Linked DNA regions of Struthio camelus. The protein of the gene in region 1 interacts with the protein of each later gene in a pairwise test. Links are inferred from orthologs where the notes say so. Each region holds a gene or a part of one and is shown in the gene's direction. Other genes may lie near its edges.

What was found.
Region 2: the proteins of TFIP11 (region 1) and RRP7A interact in binary tests that used the Homo sapiens proteins (3 or more experiments, as listed by UniProt). The link is inferred for Struthio camelus from reciprocal best matches to the Homo sapiens genes TFIP11 and RRP7A.

The regions. Positions count from the first base shown.
Region 1 is NC_090958.1:19,920,169-19,930,657, reverse strand, and holds the start of TFIP11 (tuftelin-interacting protein 11), read left to right. Parts: upstream 1-6,140; 5' UTR 6,141-6,229; coding exon 6,230-6,426; intron 6,427-6,712; coding exon 6,713-6,866; intron 6,867-7,523; coding exon 7,524-7,680; intron 7,681-8,129; coding exon 8,130-8,257; intron 8,258-8,771; coding exon 8,772-8,924; intron 8,925-9,727; coding exon 9,728-10,237; intron 10,238-10,489. Other genes in the region: TPST2 (protein-tyrosine sulfotransferase 2), read left to right, coding at 1-474, 1,950-2,148, 3,464-3,514, 4,431-4,460. UniProt on the Homo sapiens protein: Involved in pre-mRNA splicing, specifically in spliceosome disassembly during late-stage splicing events. Intron turnover seems to proceed through reactions in two lariat-intron associated complexes termed Intron Large (IL) and Intron Small (IS).
Region 2 is NC_090942.1:56,160,006-56,169,951, forward strand, and holds the start of RRP7A (ribosomal RNA-processing protein 7 homolog A), read left to right. Parts: upstream 1-6,220; 5' UTR 6,221-6,334; coding exon 6,335-6,386; intron 6,387-6,482; coding exon 6,483-6,631; intron 6,632-7,215; coding exon 7,216-7,341; intron 7,342-7,593; coding exon 7,594-7,717; intron 7,718-8,372; coding exon 8,373-8,470; intron 8,471-8,912; coding exon 8,913-9,111; intron 9,112-9,622; coding exon 9,623-9,708; 3' UTR 9,709-9,946. Other genes in the region: POLDIP3 (polymerase delta-interacting protein 3), read left to right, coding at 438-567, 1,461-1,527, 1,888-2,062. UniProt on the Homo sapiens protein: Nucleolar protein that is involved in ribosomal RNA (rRNA) processing. Also plays a role in primary cilia resorption, and cell cycle progression in neurogenesis and neocortex development.

The DNA.
Region 1 (10,489 bases):
GGACGAAGCAGGAGTGACGGACCAAGTTTTGGACGCTGCTATGCAGGCCTTTATACTGGAAGTCATCGCCAAGCATGGCGAGCCAGCCAGGTATTTATGTAACAAGGACCCTTTCACTTTGAAGTCCTCTGTCTACCTGTCCAGACTGTTTCCCAATTCCAAATTCCTCCTCATGGTTCGAGATGGCCGGGCGTCTGTCCATTCAATGATCACAAGGAAGGTGACAATCGCAGGCTTTGACCTGAACAGCTACCGAGACTGCCTTACCAAGTGGAACAAAGCGATCGAGGTGATGTATTCCCAGTGCTTGGAGATCGGGCGAGCCCGGTGCCTGCCAGTCTACTACGAGCAGCTAGTCCTGCACCCTGAGCGGTCTATGCATGCCATCATGAAGTTCCTAGATATTTCCTGGAGTGATGCGGTGCTGCACCATGAGGAACTGATAGGGAAGCCTGGTGGAGTGTCTCTTTCCAAGTGAGTGTCTCTGCTACTGCCTCTGCTTTTCAAAGAGTATTTTCATGAGACAAAGCAGGTCAGGGCCAAAACTGGAGGGCAAAGATTTGTTGCTTATGTTTAGGCATAGTTTTCAGGATCAGAAGTGGTAGCACATCCGTTTTGCTGCAGTTGCTTTTGTTTTTCTAAGTAAAACACAAGCTTGAATATTAGCTATCTGTTGTACCCAATAGAACAGCTTGTTAGGCAAGGATTTTAAAAGCAGGTGACAGTGTTTTTTCATCTGCTGTTGACAGTGTGGAAATGGTTTTGGTGTCTAATTTGAGAAGAACTGCTTGCTCAGAAACTTGAGCTTTTTTTAATGACTCTTTCTCCACCTGTCCTCATATACCTGTTCAGACTGGGATTACAGTTTAGCTGTTAATGAATTGCTTTTGGTAGTTTGCACTAATTCTTACTATGTTTCCTGCTGGTATTGCAGTATAAAAGAAATATCTTCTCCCATGAAGACGCACCCCACTGCTCCCTAGCTTTTTCTGTCTCTTCTTGTGTTCCAGGAGGTGCTTGCTTTACCCAGCTTCTTGTGGTTGTTAAGTGCTGAATTATTTTTCTAGACGGAAGCTTAAGGCTAACTTAGCAAAAATTAATCAGTCCTATACAGGAACCACCCAAGCAGTCTTTGCCTAAATTCCTCTTGCCCCTTATTAGCTTGATGCATCCAAAGCGGTGGGTGCGCTCGCGCTGTTTTTTCTCCAAGGCAGCCAAGGGGTGCGCTATTCGGCTCTGCTTTCGTCAGCACTAAAACACTCTTCCTGAATAGGCTGTGTGGAATTGCATACGCTTAATGATTCAGTAATTGGGAAGCTCTCTCAGCCGATGATCTGCTGTCTTTGTGTATATTTATCCCTCCTAACATGCAGAGTTGCATATGCCTCGTCGGGTGTGGTTTCCTCTGACTCAGCGCGGAGCAGATGCAGCTTAGCCCGGGCTGAGTGTCACCCCGCGCGCAGGGTGGGAAGGGAGAGTCTGCACTGTGCAAGGGCCCCCCCTTACCAGCACCTCCTTGTGCTGGCCTGTTTGGAGCTGGTGATGTTGGTCCTAGTGCCCAAGCCTGGTCGCAAGGCAAGCGGCTCGCGTAAACCCACGATGCTCTTGGGGCTTGGCTGTTTCGGACTGAAGGCACCCGCTGGAGAGGGGCCGTCAGGGCAGGGAGGTACTGCTGTCCTTATGGGAGCTGCCCTGAGAGCAGCGCTGCTGGGCTCGGCCACAGCTCTGCCTCTGGCTGCCGCTTTGGGAACCTTTGATCCTGGCGTGGACTCAACAGCACTTGAGCTACACGTGCATCTTGGGCATTGAGAGTAAATCATTCAGAGGGTAGCTAACCTAGCTGAAGGTTTTTCTGTCTGAGTCCAATTAATATACACGTGAAATCCAACTGACAGCAACTTTACTGTCTTGCTTTCCTTTTATTTATTTATTTATTTATTTTCTTCCAGGATAGAAAGATCAACAGACCAGGTTATCAAGCCTGTGAACATGGAGGCATTATCTAAATGGATCGGACATATCCCAGGGGATGTGCTGCAAGACATGGCCCACATAGCGCCGATGCTTGCCAGGCTCGGCTACGACCCGTACGCCAATCCACCCAACTACGGCAACCCGGACCCTTTAGTTGTCAACAACACGCACAGGGTGAGTGTCGCTGCCATCCGGCTGGAGCGTGGCCAGGCGGTTACGGGAAGGGTGGGCTGACGCTGGAACAGAGACCTCCCTGTGCAGGCACTGTGCCCGCAGAGCCCTCTGCAGGAGAAGAGGTTGCTGAATTGAATCAAAAAAGAGCACTGGAGACACAAAAGCTCTCTTCCTTTGGGGAGACTATGACTGATAGATGGACATGCAGTACACAGAGGTTACTTTAAAACGGAGATGAATGCGGTAGCTTGAGACTAGGGTGGCTCAGACTAATGATGTTCCCTATGGTTTTGTGGCGGTGTTCATTTCGTCTGTTGTGGCAGATACCGGCCTGTCCCTCCCTGATCCAGCCCAGTTCTTGGTACCAGGCATGGGAAGTGTACTGTGTTATCTAGATGCAGAGCTGTTTGCTCTAGAAGCTCCCATCTGGCCGCAGAGAAGGGGTTAGGTTGTGCTGTGTCCGTGTGTAGCTCACCAGCCGCTCCCCACAGTCCCAGGAGGAATGCGAGTGAGTGGAGGCTTGTAATGCATTTGAGCAAAGACCAAAAGGATTTTTTTCAGAATACTGACACATGTTTCTGCCACAGACAGCAGTTACTAGACGGAGGGAATTTTTCTCACGCTTTGAAGCAGACCGGACTGCGGCTGGACTCGGCAGCCTCCCCAGCCTTGCACGCACACCCAGTGACAGTGCTCTTGGACCAGATGTCCTCTGTCACACTGATGGGCGTGGAGGAACGCCTGCAGGCTGGACTGGTCCCTGCTGTGCTATAAGCAGATCCATAGGTCAACAGGAAAGTAAAACCACTAAACTGGAAGCTCAGAACTTCCCTGAGCTGGTTTGCGCTATGAGTATTCTGGTCTCTGACAGTTCCTCCTTGCTCTGTGTGCTTGCTGAGAGCTCTTTAAGGACACAGATGATCTGGATGAATATCTTCCCCCAGCAGGTTTAAGAGACTCTTGGAGTCTTTGACGTGGACCTTCTAGTACTTCTCGGCATGAATTTGGAGCACTGGCATGATGCTGAAGGTCTAAATACTCTCCCCTTCCAGGTTAAGGAGGGATCCAGAGAACCTGCTTTTGTCAGGCCCCTGTGCCGGCAGGATGCCATTCCCTGGCTTTGCTTAAAAAGTCACTAAGGAGGAAATCTCCAGCTATTTCCCCAGCATCAGCATGATGTAGAACAAACGCCCATCAGGAGAGCTCTGCTGGTTTGGATACACTGGGGCAATCCATGCAGTTAATAACGTGGAGTTACTGATATTTTACAGCCACCGTTCAAGAAGGGGTCACTCTAATTTTGTCTTTTCCGTAGGTTTTAAAGGGAGATTATAAAACGCCAGCCAACTTGAAAGGTCACCTTCAGGTAAGAGTCTGATGCCACTTCTCAGGGCTTGGCCCTGTTGGTTAATCCTGGGTGCCTGGTCCCTTGCTTCCTCTCATGGACAGATGCAGGCTGGGCAGCCCAAGTGCAGGGAGAGCTCCCCTCTCTGGTCTCTCCTTCAGCCCATCCTGTATTCCTTTCCTTTGTGCTATGCACCACGCCCATCCTCCGCGTTCTTATTTTTGATATCCTGTCTTGTCCTACAAAATCTTGATGGTATTCTGTGCTCTTCTGCTCCTCAGACCCTGCTTGTTCATCTCCATCACCTCTCCTGGCCTGCTCTTGCTTATGGTTTCTTGCTGTGGAGCTCTGCGTTCACGCATCAGACTTGGGCGCTTTCTTCTGTTACTTTAAAACCCTTGCCACCTTGTTGTCTGACCCTAAACTCTCAAGGCTTTCATTGTCCTGGGCCTTGTCATGTTTAGGGAGGGCATGGCTTATCTAATTTAGAGATTACAAGTATTCCTTCTTGTACTTGTGAGACTGTTTTCAGGTGTCAGAAGTATACGGGGCTCTCCTTACAGTGCTATGTTTGAAAACAATTGGTAACCCGTCTTTTATAATCCAGAGCAATCCAACAGCCATTGCACATAATGACCAAAAAATAAAAGATTTCTCAGTTCTCCAGAAAAGATGCGTGGCCAAGACTTGAAATGAGAAAACAGAGCTGCTGGTGAAGCGAGTGTGCGTGGTTCATGCTGCAGATGCTCTGGGGAAATGAGAGGTCAGGGAGACGCTGCAGGCTCTTGGCAAAGCCTCGTGCCTGCTGATTATCTGTAGCTGCCACAATTTTCTCTGTCCTGAACGTTTCCCTTTCTTGCTTCTTGGAACACTGGGAATGTTCAGAGTTGCAGGTGGTGACAGAAAACTGATCCTTCTACTTTGTTGGTTATTCTAGGTCACTCAGAATACATCATCTTCTCACTAATAAATTAATGATTTCCAGGTAAGTGCTTGTACTTTGGGACTCATGCAAATCTACCTGCATTGCTCCAGAGTTAGTGTTTTGCTTGTATAATTCTTGTGCCCCTTGATTATTTGGGCTGCTCCAGGCATCCTCTTTATGTGAATGATCCTTCACAGTTGCTTTAGGTTTTCAGAACAATACTGCTAACTCTGTGAGGTGGTCTGTGAGAAAATGTTTTTCTGAGCTCTGAAAACAGGCTTACTTCAGCAAAATCAGAATCAGTCATTTGGTAGGCTTATTACTGAATATCCCTGCTGGCAACATGGAAACGGAGCGTGGAAACGTGCAGCTGTGCTGAGCAGCTCCCCCAGTAGCCTGCTAGGATGGGCACTGTCCTCGCCGAAGAGAAGATAAAGCGGTCACGCGTGCTGTCAGTTCGGAAAAAAAACAAAACCGCAACCCTTGATTGTTTCTGCAGAAACAACTGTTCATATCTTGGATCCTTTTCTGTCTCTCTCTTCAGGTAGCATCTATGCTAAACGGTGAATGAAAATTTTCTAAAAATGAACCTTTTAAAATTACTTTATATTTAAAAGCAGGATCTTGTGCTTAAAAAAGCAGAAGCATTGAATAAGGATGGATGATGTATGCCCATTATCTTGGAGCTGGGGCTTAGATAGCTATCTAACAAATTGTTATGTAGCTGCTGGTTTAAAATCATTAGTCATGTATTTGCTGTGTTAAATCTGTCTGTCTTATCCCTAAGACTGTGTTTCTTGTCTTCCAGAATGCTGCAAATGGCCTTTTGTTGTCCAGCAAAGAAGAGTTTGCAATTGCAAAAGTGGAAATCTGTTATCCAAGCATATTGCTTGCTAATAATATTGCCAAAATGACTGCTATACAAGGAATGTACTTGCATTTATTTGCAAAGGCCAAACATTTTCCACTTCAAATACCGGTTGTCTACCTTTTCTGAACGCTCCGTGGTAAAAGAAGCTGTGGAAACAAATATTGCAATCGGACTTTCGACGTGCATTGGAAAGAGATTTTATATTCAATTACTTGAGAACTTTTAAAGGCTGTATTTAAGTGTCTTGTAATGCTGTTCTCTAATTTGCAAATCAGAAATAGGTGTTAATAACCTTGTAGAGCATTGGTTGTACAAGTCTCCTGCCCTTCCTTCACTTGTAATTTACAGAATCTATTTAAGAGTTAATATATGAGGCCGCCTGTCTCGTTCTTGGCCCCTCTGTTTACGGCCGCCGCTGGAGCAGCGCTTCGGCCGAGAAGGCGGCAGCCGGGGCGGGCGGCAGGGCCCGGTGTCCCGGGGGGCGCGGGGGGGCCGGGCGGGACGGGGGGTGTCGGGGATTGGGGGGCGGGGGGTGGGGGGAGGCCCGGCCCCGGTGTCGGCCGCGGCCTGGGCCCGGCACGGTCGGTCCGCCAGACCATAGAGGAGCGGCCGGCGCGCGAGACGGCGGCTTGGCCCGGCCCCGGGCGCGAGAGTCTCTATGGTAGGGGGAGTGGCTCCAGCCGGCGGTCGGGGGCGTGACCCGGAAGGAGAGGGTTCGTTTCCGGGTGGCGCTCTGGGCCGCGGGGCTCGTTTCGCAGCGGCGGGGACCGGAGCGACCGGAGCGGGGCGGGAGGCGGGAGGCGGCGGCTCGGGGGAGGCGGGGGAAGGAGGACCCGGCGGCGGGGCCCGAGGCGGAGCGGAGCGGCTCGGTGGGGGCCCGGCGGCGGGGCTCGGGGCACGGCGCGGTGCGGTGCGGGGCCGTGCGGGGCCCGGCGGCGCCATGTCGATGTCGCACCTGTACGGGACGGACGGGGAGGACGGCGTGGAGATGGAGAGCTTCGAGGTGTCGGACTGGGACCTCCAGAACGAGTTCAACCCGCACCGGCAGCGGCACCGGCAGAGCAAGGAGGAGGCCACCTACGGCGTGTGGGCCGAGCGCGACTCGGACGAGGAGCGGCCCAGCTTCGGCGGCAAGCGGTGCGGGCCGGGGGGGGGCCGGGGGCGCCGGGGCCGGGGCCGGCCGAGGTGCCCGCGCTCAGACTGGGCGCACAGGCCGCGTCCCTCTGCCCAAGGGGCGAGCGTGGCTATTTCCTGGCAGAAAAAGCAATAACGTCATGCTCCAAGTTAGCCAGGAGTTGTTAAGATTTCCTTTCAGGGTGGGATTTAGCAGGACTGTTTCAAGGATTGCGCGGGGACGCGCACGGGTCTGCTGGGACAGAATTCGTGCCGTGAGCACTTACAGAAGCCTTTTTCTAATATATAGTTCTAGGGACTACTCAGCCCCCGTGAACTTCATCAGTGCTGGGCTGAAAAAGTCAGCAGCTGAGGATATGTCAGAGGAAGACTCCGATGAAGACGAAAAGCCTGTTAAGCAAGAAGAAATCCCTAAAGAGTTTGTGCCAAAGAAGTTAAAAACAGTGAGTTATCCAGAAATTTTTTAGTTCTATGTAATCTATTTATGAAACTTAAGCTGTAATAGTATCAAAGTTCTTGAGCCAGTAATAGAGTACTCAAGAAACGGAGAAATAATTGTAAACTAGAGAACTGATAGTGCACGTAGTTAAAGGAGATGTTTTCTATATTTTTTAAAGTTGTACTGATGTAGTGTTGTGTGTCCTTGGGAACGTTGCTCCTTTGTGAGCCCTTTTCGTTAATATTCATTTTGGTCAGTTGAGGTTAAAAATAAAAGAATGCTCGTGTTTTATTTCCTTGTTTCAGTTATTAAAATCCAAAGGTTGATTTATTCCCGCAGAACAATATGATTAGCGTGAGCATGTTATAGATTAAAAACCGAACCGTATTTTAAGCTATCAAATACGGAAAAGATCAGGTAGGAGTTTCAGCTGTAGTCAGCGACAGACTCTAATAATTGTCAGCTTATATGGAAATTTCTTAAGTGGCAGGCTGCTTAAATGGACACAACAGTGGTACTCTCTGCCATCGTGAGGCGGAGAAACAGCAGTACCATGTGGTGATAGCTGAATCTTTTCAGGAGAGTGCCTTCTTTTTGAGTTAACGTATGCAAAGCTTGGTTATTAAATTGCCTTAAAAAGTTTGTTGTTGTTTGTAAATAGGGTGGTAATTTCAAGCCCAGTCAGAAAGGCTTTGTAGGAGGGGCCAAATCTTTCATGGATTTTGGAAGCTGGGAGAGACACACTAAGGGAATTGGGCAGAAGCTTCTCCAGAAGATGGGTTATGTCCCCGGGAGAGGTCTTGGGAAGAACGCTCAAGGTACTGTGATTGCAAGTTTGTTTGTTTTTTGCTGACTCACAAGAATCCAATCTCTCATCTGAATTTTATCTGTGGCTTAAAACCTCATTCTCATTTTCTGACATTTCTAGCAAATGATCTGAATTTTTATGATAAGATTCAATTGCGTTTAACGTACCATAGGCCATTTTTTTGTTTTCGTTATTTTGTATGAGGAGAAGAAGGAAAAAGGAGGGAGATAAAATTTCAAGAGTAGTCAGCTCAGAATGAAAGGAGACGTTATTTTATGCAGTAGAATGAAGAAGCACTGACATACAAATGTGAATAATGCTCTGCATTTGGTCGGTGTCTGCTCAAAAAAAGTAATTCTTGCTAATTTGATAACTCAAGTTACTGTAAGAAAAGCACTTTCAATTCTGTCTGAGTAACTAAACTGTAGTCCTTTCTGATCTAACTACTGTCCTGTTCAGGTATTATCAATCCAATTGAGGCCAAACAAAGAAAAGGCAAAGGAGCTGTAGGGGCATATGGCTCTGAAAGAACCAATCAGTCTTTGCAAGACTTCCCTGTTGTTGACTCAGAAGAAGAAGCTGAAGAGGTATGTGTATGATTCCTGGTATATCTCTTTTCTCATTGTTATGTTGTATTTTATGAAATTCAGGTCTGGTATCAGCTTCTATGTCAGAGAAAACTGTTTAGGCCAGTTTTAGGTAAGAAGCTAAAGACCTAACACCGTTTCATTTAGATGTATTTTTCTTGTCAACGTAACGTTCTCTTCATAAATTCTGGCTCCCTTTATTCTGGTAGTCTTGCTAGGAACCCCCCAGAATAAATCCTCTTTGTCTGGCTAAAATGGTAGAAACATTTGGATGCATTCTTTCTGGTTGTTTTTTGGTTCTTTAACAAAAGGAGAAATATATTGCTACCGTCATGAATAGCATGTTTGGGCGGACCACAGCATCTGAGCTAATTTGTCCCTCAGCTTTACTACTTCCCATGTTGTTTTGCTGTACAGCATTCTTCGTTGGTTAATTTTTTGTAAAAAAAATTAGAGAGACAAATTTGGGTCATGACAGAGAAGCAACCCGCAACTCCTGCTTGTTTTTGTTTAGGAGTTTCAAAAAGAGCTCAGTCAGTGGAGAAAGGATCCTAATGGAGGCAAGAAAAAGCCCAAATACAACTATAAGACAGTAGAAGAATTGAAAGCCAAGGGTAGGATCAGCAAACAGCTTGCAGCGCCTCAAAAGGAGCTGTCTCAAGTCAAGGTAAGGCTGATTTCCCAGAGATGCCATCACTTGGGTTATGATTAGTCCGCGTTAGTACTGTGAGTGCTTTTTAGCCATTGGTAACCTTAATAGAAGACAGTTACAAGAACGAATTGTCCACAGCCTCATGAAAATCAAAGGCCTCAGACTTATCACCAAGTCATTTAACACACTACTGCGTCACCTGGGACCTGGCACTTGTTCACAAGCAACCTTTTGACCTCAGGAAAAGGCAGATTAGCTTAGATGTCTTTCATTATGAGTTAAGTTTAATTGTATCTCGTTTATCATAAATTAAATGTGCGTCTACTTCTGAAAGCCCAGCTGTACATATTATGGTTGTGCATCTGAACTATCCTCCACCTAAAAGAGACAGTAACTAGATTTGTCCTTGATGCACTTAATTATTCACCTAAAATTACATGTCTTTAAAAACTTGTAAAATGCCCCAAGGCTTCTGTGCCATAATGAACTGTATATTACTTGCATCATCACTCCTTGTCGAAATACTCAGTGAAAAGGTAGAAGTGGCGTTAGAGGAAGAGGGCATTTCTCTCCAAACTCAGAGGCCTTTTCTCTGCACTTATTTCCAGCTCTGATTCCATGTTGTGTTCTTCATTCATTCCAAATCTTCATGTGGTTAGTAAGCCTCTTTAGAAATAATTCAGAACGCCTGATTGTATTAGTAGCCTGCTGGAGTGATTAAGGTACTCAGAAATCTCAGAAATCCAAATTTTCAATTTAAGCATGAAATAAGATTTTTTTTTTTTTTTAAGGACATGCTTGTTCTTGTTTGTTGTAAGGTTATAGATATGACGGGCCGTGAACAAAAGGTTTATTACAGCTACAGTCAAATTAGCCACAAGCACAATATTCCTGATGACAGTCCTCAGCAGCCACTGGGCAAAGACTCTAAGCCCCAGGGATTTGCCTTGCCTGAGCTGGAGCACAACTTACAACTTCTCATTGACATCACAGAGCAAGAGATCATCCAGAATGACCGGCAGCTGCAGTATGAGAGAGACATGGTGGTCAACCTGACCCATGAGATACAGAAGATGTCTGAAGTCCTCTCTCATGAGGAGACGGCAATTAGCAATCTCAGCAAAGTCCTGGAGATGGTGGAAGAGTGCGAGAGGCGGATGCAGCCCAGTTGTGAAAATCCGCTGACCTTGGATGAGTGTGCAAAGATTTTTGAGACACTTCAAGACAAGTACTATGAAGAGTACCGAATGTCTGATAGGGTGGACTTGGCAGTAGCAATAGTTTATCCTCTCATGAAAGATTACTTCAAGAACTGGGATCCCCTCAAGGTGTGTATTAGTTTGATTTATTCACAGTTTTTATATGATGGCTAAGTTGCCTTTATTGTTTCGACTCCACTCCTTGCCCCGCATTCCGATCAAAATGTTGATTAAATGGCAGGGGAGGGGAAAGCTCCAGAGAAAGCTCCCAGTGTTCATGGTAGAGTGAAATAAATGTGTCCAAAAGGTGGATCCACTCTCCACCACTACCCAAATATTTGGTAATGCTGAAGTGTTATGTAACATAATGAACCATTTAGA
Region 2 (9,946 bases), on another chromosome or scaffold:
GTTTGTTTTTAAAAACGTGTGCTCAAAACAGTGGACAAAATCCCCTTTCGAGGCTGTATTGAGATACCTGATATCATTTAGAACAGTTCATGCCAAATGATGCTTGGTGTTCTCTGACTTATGCTCCATCCAAGTTATCTAGGCAGACTGAGAACGAAGCTGGTTTTCATGCATAGCCGTACAGAGCACTAACCTTGAACTCCTCTGCTTGAGTTGTTGACAGTATGGAGTTTTATTCCACCTGTATTACTAATACCAAGTACTTGTTTGTACCATAGTAAACATATTAAGATAAATGGCTACTGCCAGAATCTGGCACGCATTTTCTAAGCAGACTAGGTGATGTAATTAGGAAACGAAGCCTTTTCCACTCTGTCTGTCTGGTTCAAGTGATAACTCTGATATGACCACTGTCATGACTTGTTATCTGCCCTCAGGAATTATTCTGTGTGTGTGGCGCTCTGAAGCGAGCCCGGCTGGTGCACCCAGGAGTGGCTGAGGTAGTCTTTGTGAAGAAAGAAGATGCTATCACAGCGTATAAGAAATACAACAACAGATGCTTAGATGGTAAGTTGGAGGTCAAGGTTACACTTAGGATAGAGGAATCAACAGTTTTTCACCTCAGCAGAGAGCTTAAAAGCATCTCAGGGTGTTTATATATTACCAAGAGAATTACTACCAGAGGCTTTGCAGGCTTTTGTGTAACTTGTTGGATTATATGCATAGTTCATTTAAGTGGTATTCATAAATATGTTTTCCCGGGAAGAGAGCTCAGAGCTAGAAGCAGATTTCCACCGATTCCTCTGATCTGACTTCCAGATGAATTTTGTATTGTCTCTAACCTAGAAGCCAAAGCAGGATAGTCCTTAGGAAGGCACTGAATGCTTACAGAGTAACTGCACAGCACAAGTAAAACTAGTATTTATAGAGGTCTTGGGGGCCTGGCAAAGACATTCTGAATCAGACCTGTAAAACAGTATCAGCTTCTCTACAGACTTTGAACAATGCAGTTTTTGATCAGGATCTATCTGCATGTTGTCACAGGCTGAAATTAGCTGCTAACTTCTAGCTTATCTTTTACCCTTGTGAGAGGCCTGATGCAACTTTAACAAGTGTAAGTTTTCTAGCTGAAAATAGATGTTTCTTTCCCTGGATGAGTATCACCACTAATATCAGATGAGGAGCAAACAGCTCAGAATGGGAGAATCTCTGCCTGTGCTAAGGGTTGTCTACCTATATGTAACTTCAAATTTCATATTTCTCCTGAGTGTTTCAGTTACACTTCAGTTGCTTAGAAGTGCTATGATCTTGCAACAGAAGATGCATCAGCTGCTCTTTCTCCTGGTTTCCCCAGAATGTGGAGCTCTACTATTGCTTGCACTGTTGTGTGATGTTTTAGGAGCCTTGCCTGACTGTGATTCTGAGATACAGATTTTTTTTTGTTGTTGTATTTTGTTTAGGTCAACCGATGAAATGCAATCTTCATATGAATGGGAATGTCATCACCTCAGACCAGCCTATATTGCTGTAAGTGCCCACTGAGGGAAAGAACCAAAAGAGTTTGCAGGTTCTGTTTTGAGGAGAACCTATGAGGAAGGAGGAAAATATGTTGGTAAACTGTTTTCCCATTAATATCCTCTTTCTCTTCCTTTCTGGAAGCTCTCTGTGTTGAGCTGACTGCAAAATAGCTTGCTTCCATAGTGTTGGCCAGCCCTGGGGATTCAAAGCAAGTCTGCGATCAGGAAGTGTTCTTGTCTGAAAGCACATTTTAAACTGCTATGTCCAATGCTGAGAAGAGAGGATATTGAGCAGTGCAGATATTGGGTAAAATGTATTTGATAATGTGAGGTTTAATACTATTTGTGGGTTCTTTGTTTAATTCTCCAGCCGACTGAGTGATACCCCTTCAGTGAAGAAGGAAGGAGAACCACGCCGGTCAAGTGCAAGCGCCTCCTCAAATCCCCCTGCTGAGGTGGACCCTGACACCATCTTGAAGGCACTCTTCAAATCCTCAGGGGTCTCTGCCTCTGTGCAGCCCACAGAATTTAAAATCAAACTCTGAGAAGGGGGAGCAAGTGGTGGACTGGAAAACTCACTCAAGTCAGAGAATGAGAAAAGTGCAGGAGTGCAGATGTTATTTGCATTTGCCTGTCTGGAAGTTTTTTTGTTTTCTATGATCGCTACCTTACTGTACAATAGTGTTTCCTCTTGTGTGTGTATTTTCTGTTTTCATAGTTGGAGTTTTCTTCCATGATTTTTTTTCCCCAAGAGAATAACCTCCCCCTTCTGCCAGTAATATATTACCACACATATACGATGTAACTCTCCTTTACTCGAAAGCCCCTAGTGGCCATTAAAAGTGCACATAGACTCTGAGGGAAGGAGTGGCAATCTCCTTTTCTCTCCTGACCTACCTTTAAACTAAAAGGTGTATCCCTTTGATTATCAGCAGGCAAGACAACACACGGTTTCTAAAATTGCTACCTTGAGTATAAAGGTGCGGCTCCATACAGAAAGCACCGTCTTGCATCTCTGACTCATGCATTCAGTAGCATACCACTTGGGCCTGGCTGTTGGATAACTTTCTGCTCAGCAGCTGTGACACTGAGAAGATGCAAGAAAAACAGAGCTCCCCTGTGGGTATGCCAGCCAAGGGAGGCATCGGGGAGAAAGGACGTGTGTAAAGAGCAGCACCCATCGTGCAATGGGAGGGATGTTTCTAACTCTGGTAAGGGACAGAGGTGGAGAAAGACTCTGGTGCTTCTGCAGTGAATACACTTGCCCTGTATAGTCAGGCTGAGTTGCTCTCTCCCTACTTCTGAACTTAAAAAACAAGAACCAGGATTGTGTTCAGAACTAGATAAAATCCAAGTGCTTCACTCCTATTAGACAGTATTGCATCCTCCTGGTTTCTGGATAGGGACATGAAGTGCTTTCTTAGCTTCTAACTTACCCAGTCTCCCTTTATGAAAAGGAAGGAGCTGGGGCCTCTTTCAGACATGTAGGAAGCAGTCTTCTGCCCCTGAAAAATCACTTGAGGTTTAATTTAGGCAATGTTTGGCTGCTGTGCAGGCCTGCTCCCATATATGGGTGTGGAGGGTGATCACTGCACTCCGTGGCTGCAAGGAGAGGTTTGGGGGAGGTGTGTGTGGAGGGAGCAGTTAACGCTCTAGGGAATGCATCGAAGAGTTTAGATACCGGCAAGTTCCATGCAGAGCAGCAAGAACGAGTCACCTTCAGAGCGAGCATCTGCGACCAGCCACCGGCCACTAGGTGGCACTTCGACTACTTCCTTTGTTAGTGCACCATTATTGCCATGGATATTTGAAGTCCCAGTAGCTGCCTTTGTTTGTATTAGTTGAAATTGTATTATAAGAGGAAAGGTAAGAGCCACTTCCAGAATCTGGTTGGGGTTTGAACTTAATCCTTCTAGCTAGGAGAGTAACCCGATCCGTTCTGTTCGGCACTGCTGAACTTTAGTGAAGTAAACCATTGTAGGCCTGGACTCCCATTTCTTGGTCAACCTTACGTTTCTTTTGCTTTCTTGTTCTGTACAAACTCTTTGCTCTATCTAGCAGGTGCAAAGCATTCCTCTATTTCGCTATATCCCTTTTAGCCATGGAAATAACTGAGGACTTGGCAGGACTTGTTTTTTCACAGAGTACTCTCTGGTTTGGAAACTAACCATGCTGTTATTGGTAGAGTGCTTCTTGTGAACTGCAGATGTTTGTAGGGGAGGGGACTTAAGACAGCTATTGTTCCCCTTTTTTAGACTGCCCATCAAACACCTGTGTTTTAATAAGAGTCGGGGGGAGGGGGAGGAAATGTTAGGGGCTGGAGAAAATAATGTATTACCTGTTTCTGAATAAACGTTTGTTATACAGAGAGTGTTGCTGTTAAAGTGGGAGCAATTTGCGTCCACAGTTAGTTCCAATTCCATTGATGTCACAAAAAAGGGAAACAGTGGTCCTTGTTACAGACAGCCTAGTGGGTTTAAAAGATAACTCCAGAAAAAAAGAGTGGAGCTGTGAAATTAAGATATCTGTTCTTGGGGAAGCAGGATACTTTATCAACTAGATCAAAGAGTATGAAAATATGAAGACATGTATTGTGGCTGCGTATTTTTTTTTCTTCTGAAAGAATGATTTGGTCATACGCTTTCATTAGTACATTCACATCCATTCCAAAAAACAAATAGAATTGTAATTTGCTGTTAAGTTGGACATAGCGCTTAGATTATCTGTGATAAACTATGATGACATTAACATACTTCCTTGAAGAACTACTGCTCTGTTCTCTAGCTCTGTGATCTGTGTAGTAAATCCTTCTATTTTTTTTTTATCATTGAAGTCAATGATTGTCTAAATACCACCCTAGACAGTCTTGCAGTCTAAAGTTGGTTTGGTCTCTTAGATTAAGTTTTCTTAGCTAATTCTTCCTAGTGTGATTTCCTGTTTCAGTAGGCACTGAAAGAAGAATAACATTCTAGTAATTCCCAGGCTTTTTCAAGCGCTTTGCCTTGCAGCTCTGGTTTCATCTCACTGGCCTGAAATACTCATGCTAAGTCTTGTTAGCCTCCTGCTGAGCTCACCTACCACCTTCTGACCTAACACCTGTGCACATTTGCCTTAACTCAGCATAGTTATATTTGTGTTGGTTGGTTGGTTTTTAAATGTTTAGGGGTTATCTGAGATCATAAATTTGCATACAAAACACACTGCCAGCACTAATTCAAAAGGGTTGTCCAGAACAGGTGGTAAGTCATTTGTAACAGTGTTTCTCTTTTTCCTTGGCTTTTTCAAAAACTTGCTGATTCCTAATATGATGCTACAATTTGCAGGTTTGCCTGGTATATGTTTACAGGTTCTGCGTTTGCCATTCCTCCCGATCACGTTCCTTAACTTGGATATCTATTCTGTGTCAAGTCACCATATCATTTCTTACTCGCTTTCACTAGCTTTTGTTCACCTTGTACATATGTCTTGCTTCAATATCTTCTTTTATTTTTGGAGTGGTCCTTCTTGTTCTATGCAGTCATAAATATAACTTTCTCTGTAGGGGTCTCTGCTGCTTCCCCTGATTAACAAGAGCCTTTGAGAGTAGTTACTCCTATAGTTGTCTTTGAATGTTTTTACACATCTGAAGCATTTCTTCTTTTATTTGCCTCTCTAGAATTAAGCAAACTTGCTGCTTTTTACGTTGTGTTCTCACTGTTAAGGTCTTCATTTTCAGAATTCTAGTTTAACTAAATGACTGGGTGTAATAAGCTTCCTTACAGAACATACTGTGCTGCAGAGGCCTTATCCAGGTGCAACTCACCTTAACAGATATTTCCATGTTCCTTAGCCAAGAATTTCCAGAGGCGCTTGTGAATGCAGAAATCTGTCTGTATCACCAGGTCATTGGGCAACATAACCTACCTGAACATCCACCTTGCTTGCTCTGGCTAAAGCCACCTTCTACCTGTCTCAGTTATTTCCCATGGGTGTAATGATGTCTTCCCTAGCAAATCAGATTTTGACTTATCTTAAAAGAGCCTTCCCTTTAAAAGACTCGTCTTCAAGGTGCCGAGGAATTGCTTGTGCTTTGGCTTACAGTGTCCTGAGAGGTTGTTGGGCCCGTAGCACGTGCTTTAGGGAGAGGTTTAAGTGATCTATCTGCTTGTCGCTCGGCCTCGTGCACTTAACTTGGCAGATTTTCTGTCGGGGGGGGTGTCCTCCTATATCTTTCTCCTGTAAGCCACCACCTCTTCCATCTGCCCTCAGCCGTATTTTGTCATTTAAAAGCGCCTCTTAGTGAGTTGGTCGTGCGCGGCGAGAGCAGAAGTTGCATCCACCGGCTGTATAGTTGCAGCGGGAGATGGGGCTCTTCTGCCACGCTCGCTTCAAGTGGAAGCAGCTTGATCGAAACCATATTTTAGAGCCAGAAGCCGGACAGCAGGAGTGGGCCAGAGCCTGGATGGCTGCTACAGGCCCCGGCTACGCTTGTAAAACAAACTGCCCGGACTCGCAGATGCACCGAGGAGGCGCGCTCGCCCTTGAGGCGCGGGCTTCACAAACGCCTGTAAGAAGGACGCGTGGGCAGGCCGGTATCCGAGCTTGCCTCCGCGGTGCTTTAACCTTCCCCCCCCCCCCCAACACACACACACACACACACACACACACAGAGACACCTCCCGCTGCCCCTCCTCTCCGCCAGCGCGGCGGCGGGAGGCGAGCTAACGGTCGGGCGCCACCCGCCGCCATTAGCGACACGGCGAGGGCGCGCGGGGGAGGGTTGGGGGGACTACAGCTCCCGGCGGCCCTCGCGGCCCGGCACTTCCCGCGGAGCTAAGATGGCGGCCGCCGCGGAGCGTGTGCCTGGAGAGGCGCCGGCGGGGTACACGGGTGAGGGCGGCGCGGGGCCTCGCGGGGCAGGGGGCGGCGGGCCGGGCCGAGCCGAAGATAGGGGAGGGGGGTCTCTAACCGCTGTGTTGCCCGCAGCGCTGGCGGTGAAGTTCGGGCCGCGGCAGCGCTCGCCTCACTGCCTCTTGGTGAAGGAGCACCGGGTGCGCGAAGGGACCGGGACCGGCGCCGCGCACCCGCCCCGCCGCACCCTCTTCGTGCTCAACGTCCCCCCGTATTGCAGCCGGGTGAGTGGGACCGCCGGGGGACCAGGGCTGCCCCGGCTCGGGGGGGGGGGTGGGGGTGGGCCGCTGCAGGGTTTGGGCCGCTGGTTGGGACAGTGGGACAGCACGGGTATCGTCTCGGGGCTGCGGTGCTTCCCCCCCCCCCCCGAGGCTCTCCCCTTGGAGATCTCTGTCCCCCCCCTCTCCCTTGGGCCTCTCTCCCCCTCGGGGTTTGTGCCCCCCGGGGCTGCGTCCCCTCAGGTTTCCAGCCAGGGCAGTTGGAGTGCTCCCAGCGCTTTTGCTGCCAGTGCTCGCCGAAAGTTTCCCCTGGGTGAGCTAGCGGGCCAAAACCCAGCGGTCGCGTGCCACGCCGTGGGCAGGTCCTCCTCCGGGACGAGCGTGGCGGCACGGGCTGAACGAGCCGAATGGGCCGCAGAGATGTGACTGCCTAGTTGGTAGGCAGTGCACTGCCAGCTGGGAGAAGTGGGCAGAGGGGTCTGTGGTTTTGTCAGAGAGTCGTCTAATGCTTTCTGCGGGTGTGAAGGCATGGAAAGAAGTCACTCTTGTTTTTCTGTGTTATTTTTTTCTCCCTTAACGCCTGTATCAAGGAATCTCTGTCTAGGCTGTTCTTCAGTTGTGGACCTGTTCAGTCTGTGGATATCTGTGACAAGCCAGAAATAGGAGAGAAAACAGAAACACTCAAGTCCAAATTCTTCAACCTCAAAACCACAAAGGTAAGGGGAAAGAGACTGATGCTTTAGTGGTGCGAATGGGAAGAGATCTCGAGTGTTGGAATGGTGCTGTTCGGAGCACAAGATGTGGGAAAATCATTTTGGGGGATTTGCCAGTGTGTTATCTTTTTTGCTATTCTACTGCAATCTGTGGTTTGATTTAATTTTATGTATTGATTTAGTGTACTGTAGTTCCTTACTGTGTTACCAACTCCGTAGGTGTACCTGACTGGCCTGAGGGCACCTTTCTTTCAGGGTTTCCGAGTAGCATACGTGGTGTTCAGGAGCCCAGCTGGTGTCCAGGCAGCCAAGGCCCTGTCGCAGGGAGGTCCTCTGCTGATATCAACAGAGAGTCATCCTGTGAAAACGGGCATCAGCAGTAAGTCAGTCCTAGCTATCTCCCTGTTAACCGGAGCAGGGCAAAGCTACACCTGTTCCTTAGTGAATCCTGTACTACGTATCCCGAATTAATTCCCACCACTTTGTACTGAGACTGAGCTGGGAGGCGTCCAGTGTTTTGTTGTCCTTTTTTTACTCTTTAAGATAGCCATCTTATTCTACTGAAAGTTGTGGAATCTGGTCCTGTTCCCCTGTGGGAGGAAGTGCTTACTTGATATGATGGAAGGGCAGTTTCTCCCCCTATCTCTTCAGTATTGTATAGAAAAACTGGCTGTGGCTTGCCCCCGGAATGGGAGCCAGGCTCATTAACAGGCACAAGGTGTTTATCAAGACGACAGGACTTTGGACGTGACCCCTCTGCAGGAACGCAGCCCTGAATTTTGCACTTGAGGATACCCCAGTCTTGCTTGGGGACGGTTGCAAGCACGGTTGCCCTTCTCATTGTTTAACCCTTTACTGGCCATGGCCTGGTCCACAGGTCAGTTGTTTGTGAACCAATGTGGTGGGGAGGCTGAGGATGGATGGAAAATGGGAACGGCCCCAATAAGCCGTTTTCTCTAGAGCTGCTCAAAGACATCACACTAGGGCTTGCTTCTAACAGAAGCTACTGCTGACTTCTGCCTTCTCTGTTTCAGAGTGGATTGCCAGCTACGCAGCTTCAGTGGTGGATCGGGAAGAACTGAAAGCTGAGGTGGATGCCTTCATGCAAGACTATGACAAACAGATAGCAGAGGTAAGGCCAGGCTGGGGAAGGGACCCAGCAAAGCAGTCTAGGGGGTGAAAGGAAGACGGAGGGTCTCACCGCCCAGGCCCTACTGGAAATTGCACGAGGGGGGGGCACACTGGCTGGCAGGGTTGTTTATTCCTAGTTGCTGGTGGATGGTGTCTGGAGACCAGGTCCTAGTTTGCTTTGTGACAGCTGACCCTTCCACCCAGGGCTTACAGCAGGTACCCACAAATACATTGGGTCCTGTCTGGCATGCAGTGTTGCGACTGAGACTTGAATGCCTAGTCTTATGCTCGGTGCCCGGTCCTCTGTCTTGTGCTCTCCTTCAAATCTTGTGCAGAAGCAGGAGCTGCAGCTGTGCATGCGTGTAAGGGGAGCCGTGAGGGAGCTAAGCATCTGTCTGGCTGACAGCAGATTTGCACTGAGCCTCTCTGTCCTGTATTTATAGGAAGAAGCTAAAGCAGCTGAGGAGGAGGGCGTTCCGGATGAGGAGGGCTGGGTGAAGGTAACGCGGAAGGGCCGGAAGCCTGGCCTGCCCCGGACAGAGGCTGCCAACCTGCGTCTGCTGGAGAGGGAGAGGCGGAAAAGGGCCCGCAAAGAGCTGCTCAACTTCTATGCCTGGCAGCATCGTGAGACCAAGAGAGAGCGTGAGTGCCTCAGTCTCCTCCCCCTTCCCATGGCTCTTGTCCTTCATATGTGGCCCTAAGAGCACCAGTTTTCCTTCAATGGTCGCTGTAGGCGACCAGTTGCTGTGCTGTTGTGTGAACAGCCTCTCCAGTTCTTGTGGGCCCCATGCCGCTCCCTGGCCTAGCAGGGGCTGTTTGAAAGTTTTGTGGCAGAGTTGGAAGAATGCGGCTTTCTAATAGGGGTTTCTTCAGTCAGCACAGATGCAGCAATTGAAAGGGAGGACTCACCTGTTCCCCTCCTCAAGAGGGAGCTGCAGCACTGCAGGAGACAAGTGGCCAGAGCCACAGCCCTGCACCGAGCCCTGGCCCAAAAGGATCCACTCTGGGAAGTGTATCTCTGCATGTCAGGACTGAACCACCTCCCAGTGTGTATAGGGCTGTTGAGAGCAGCGGAGATGAAGCTCCCTAGGGAGATGGAAGTCTGCCGCTCCCCCTGTGTGACCTGCTCTCTCCCTCCTCCTTTCGGTTTCAGACATCGCCCAGCTGAGGAAGAAGTTTGAGGAGGACAAGCAGAGAATCGCACTGATGCGAGCCCAGCGCAAGTTTCGGCCGTACTAAGCTATGCTGGACTGTTTCCTCAGATGTTTGTGCTGGAGAGGGAGGAACAGGCATGCGTGGACTTCATGTGCCAAAGGGTTTCAAGGAACTGAGGCAGTTTCAGGTTGTCCCTGCCTTTGGGTCTGAGGTGGGAGATCCAAGCACCTGCAACTGGAGGGGGAGTTGGCTTCACTCACACCGGCATCTCCTGTTCTCCTGGCCATGCCTGCGCTGCCATTGTCCAGCCCTGAGGCACCAC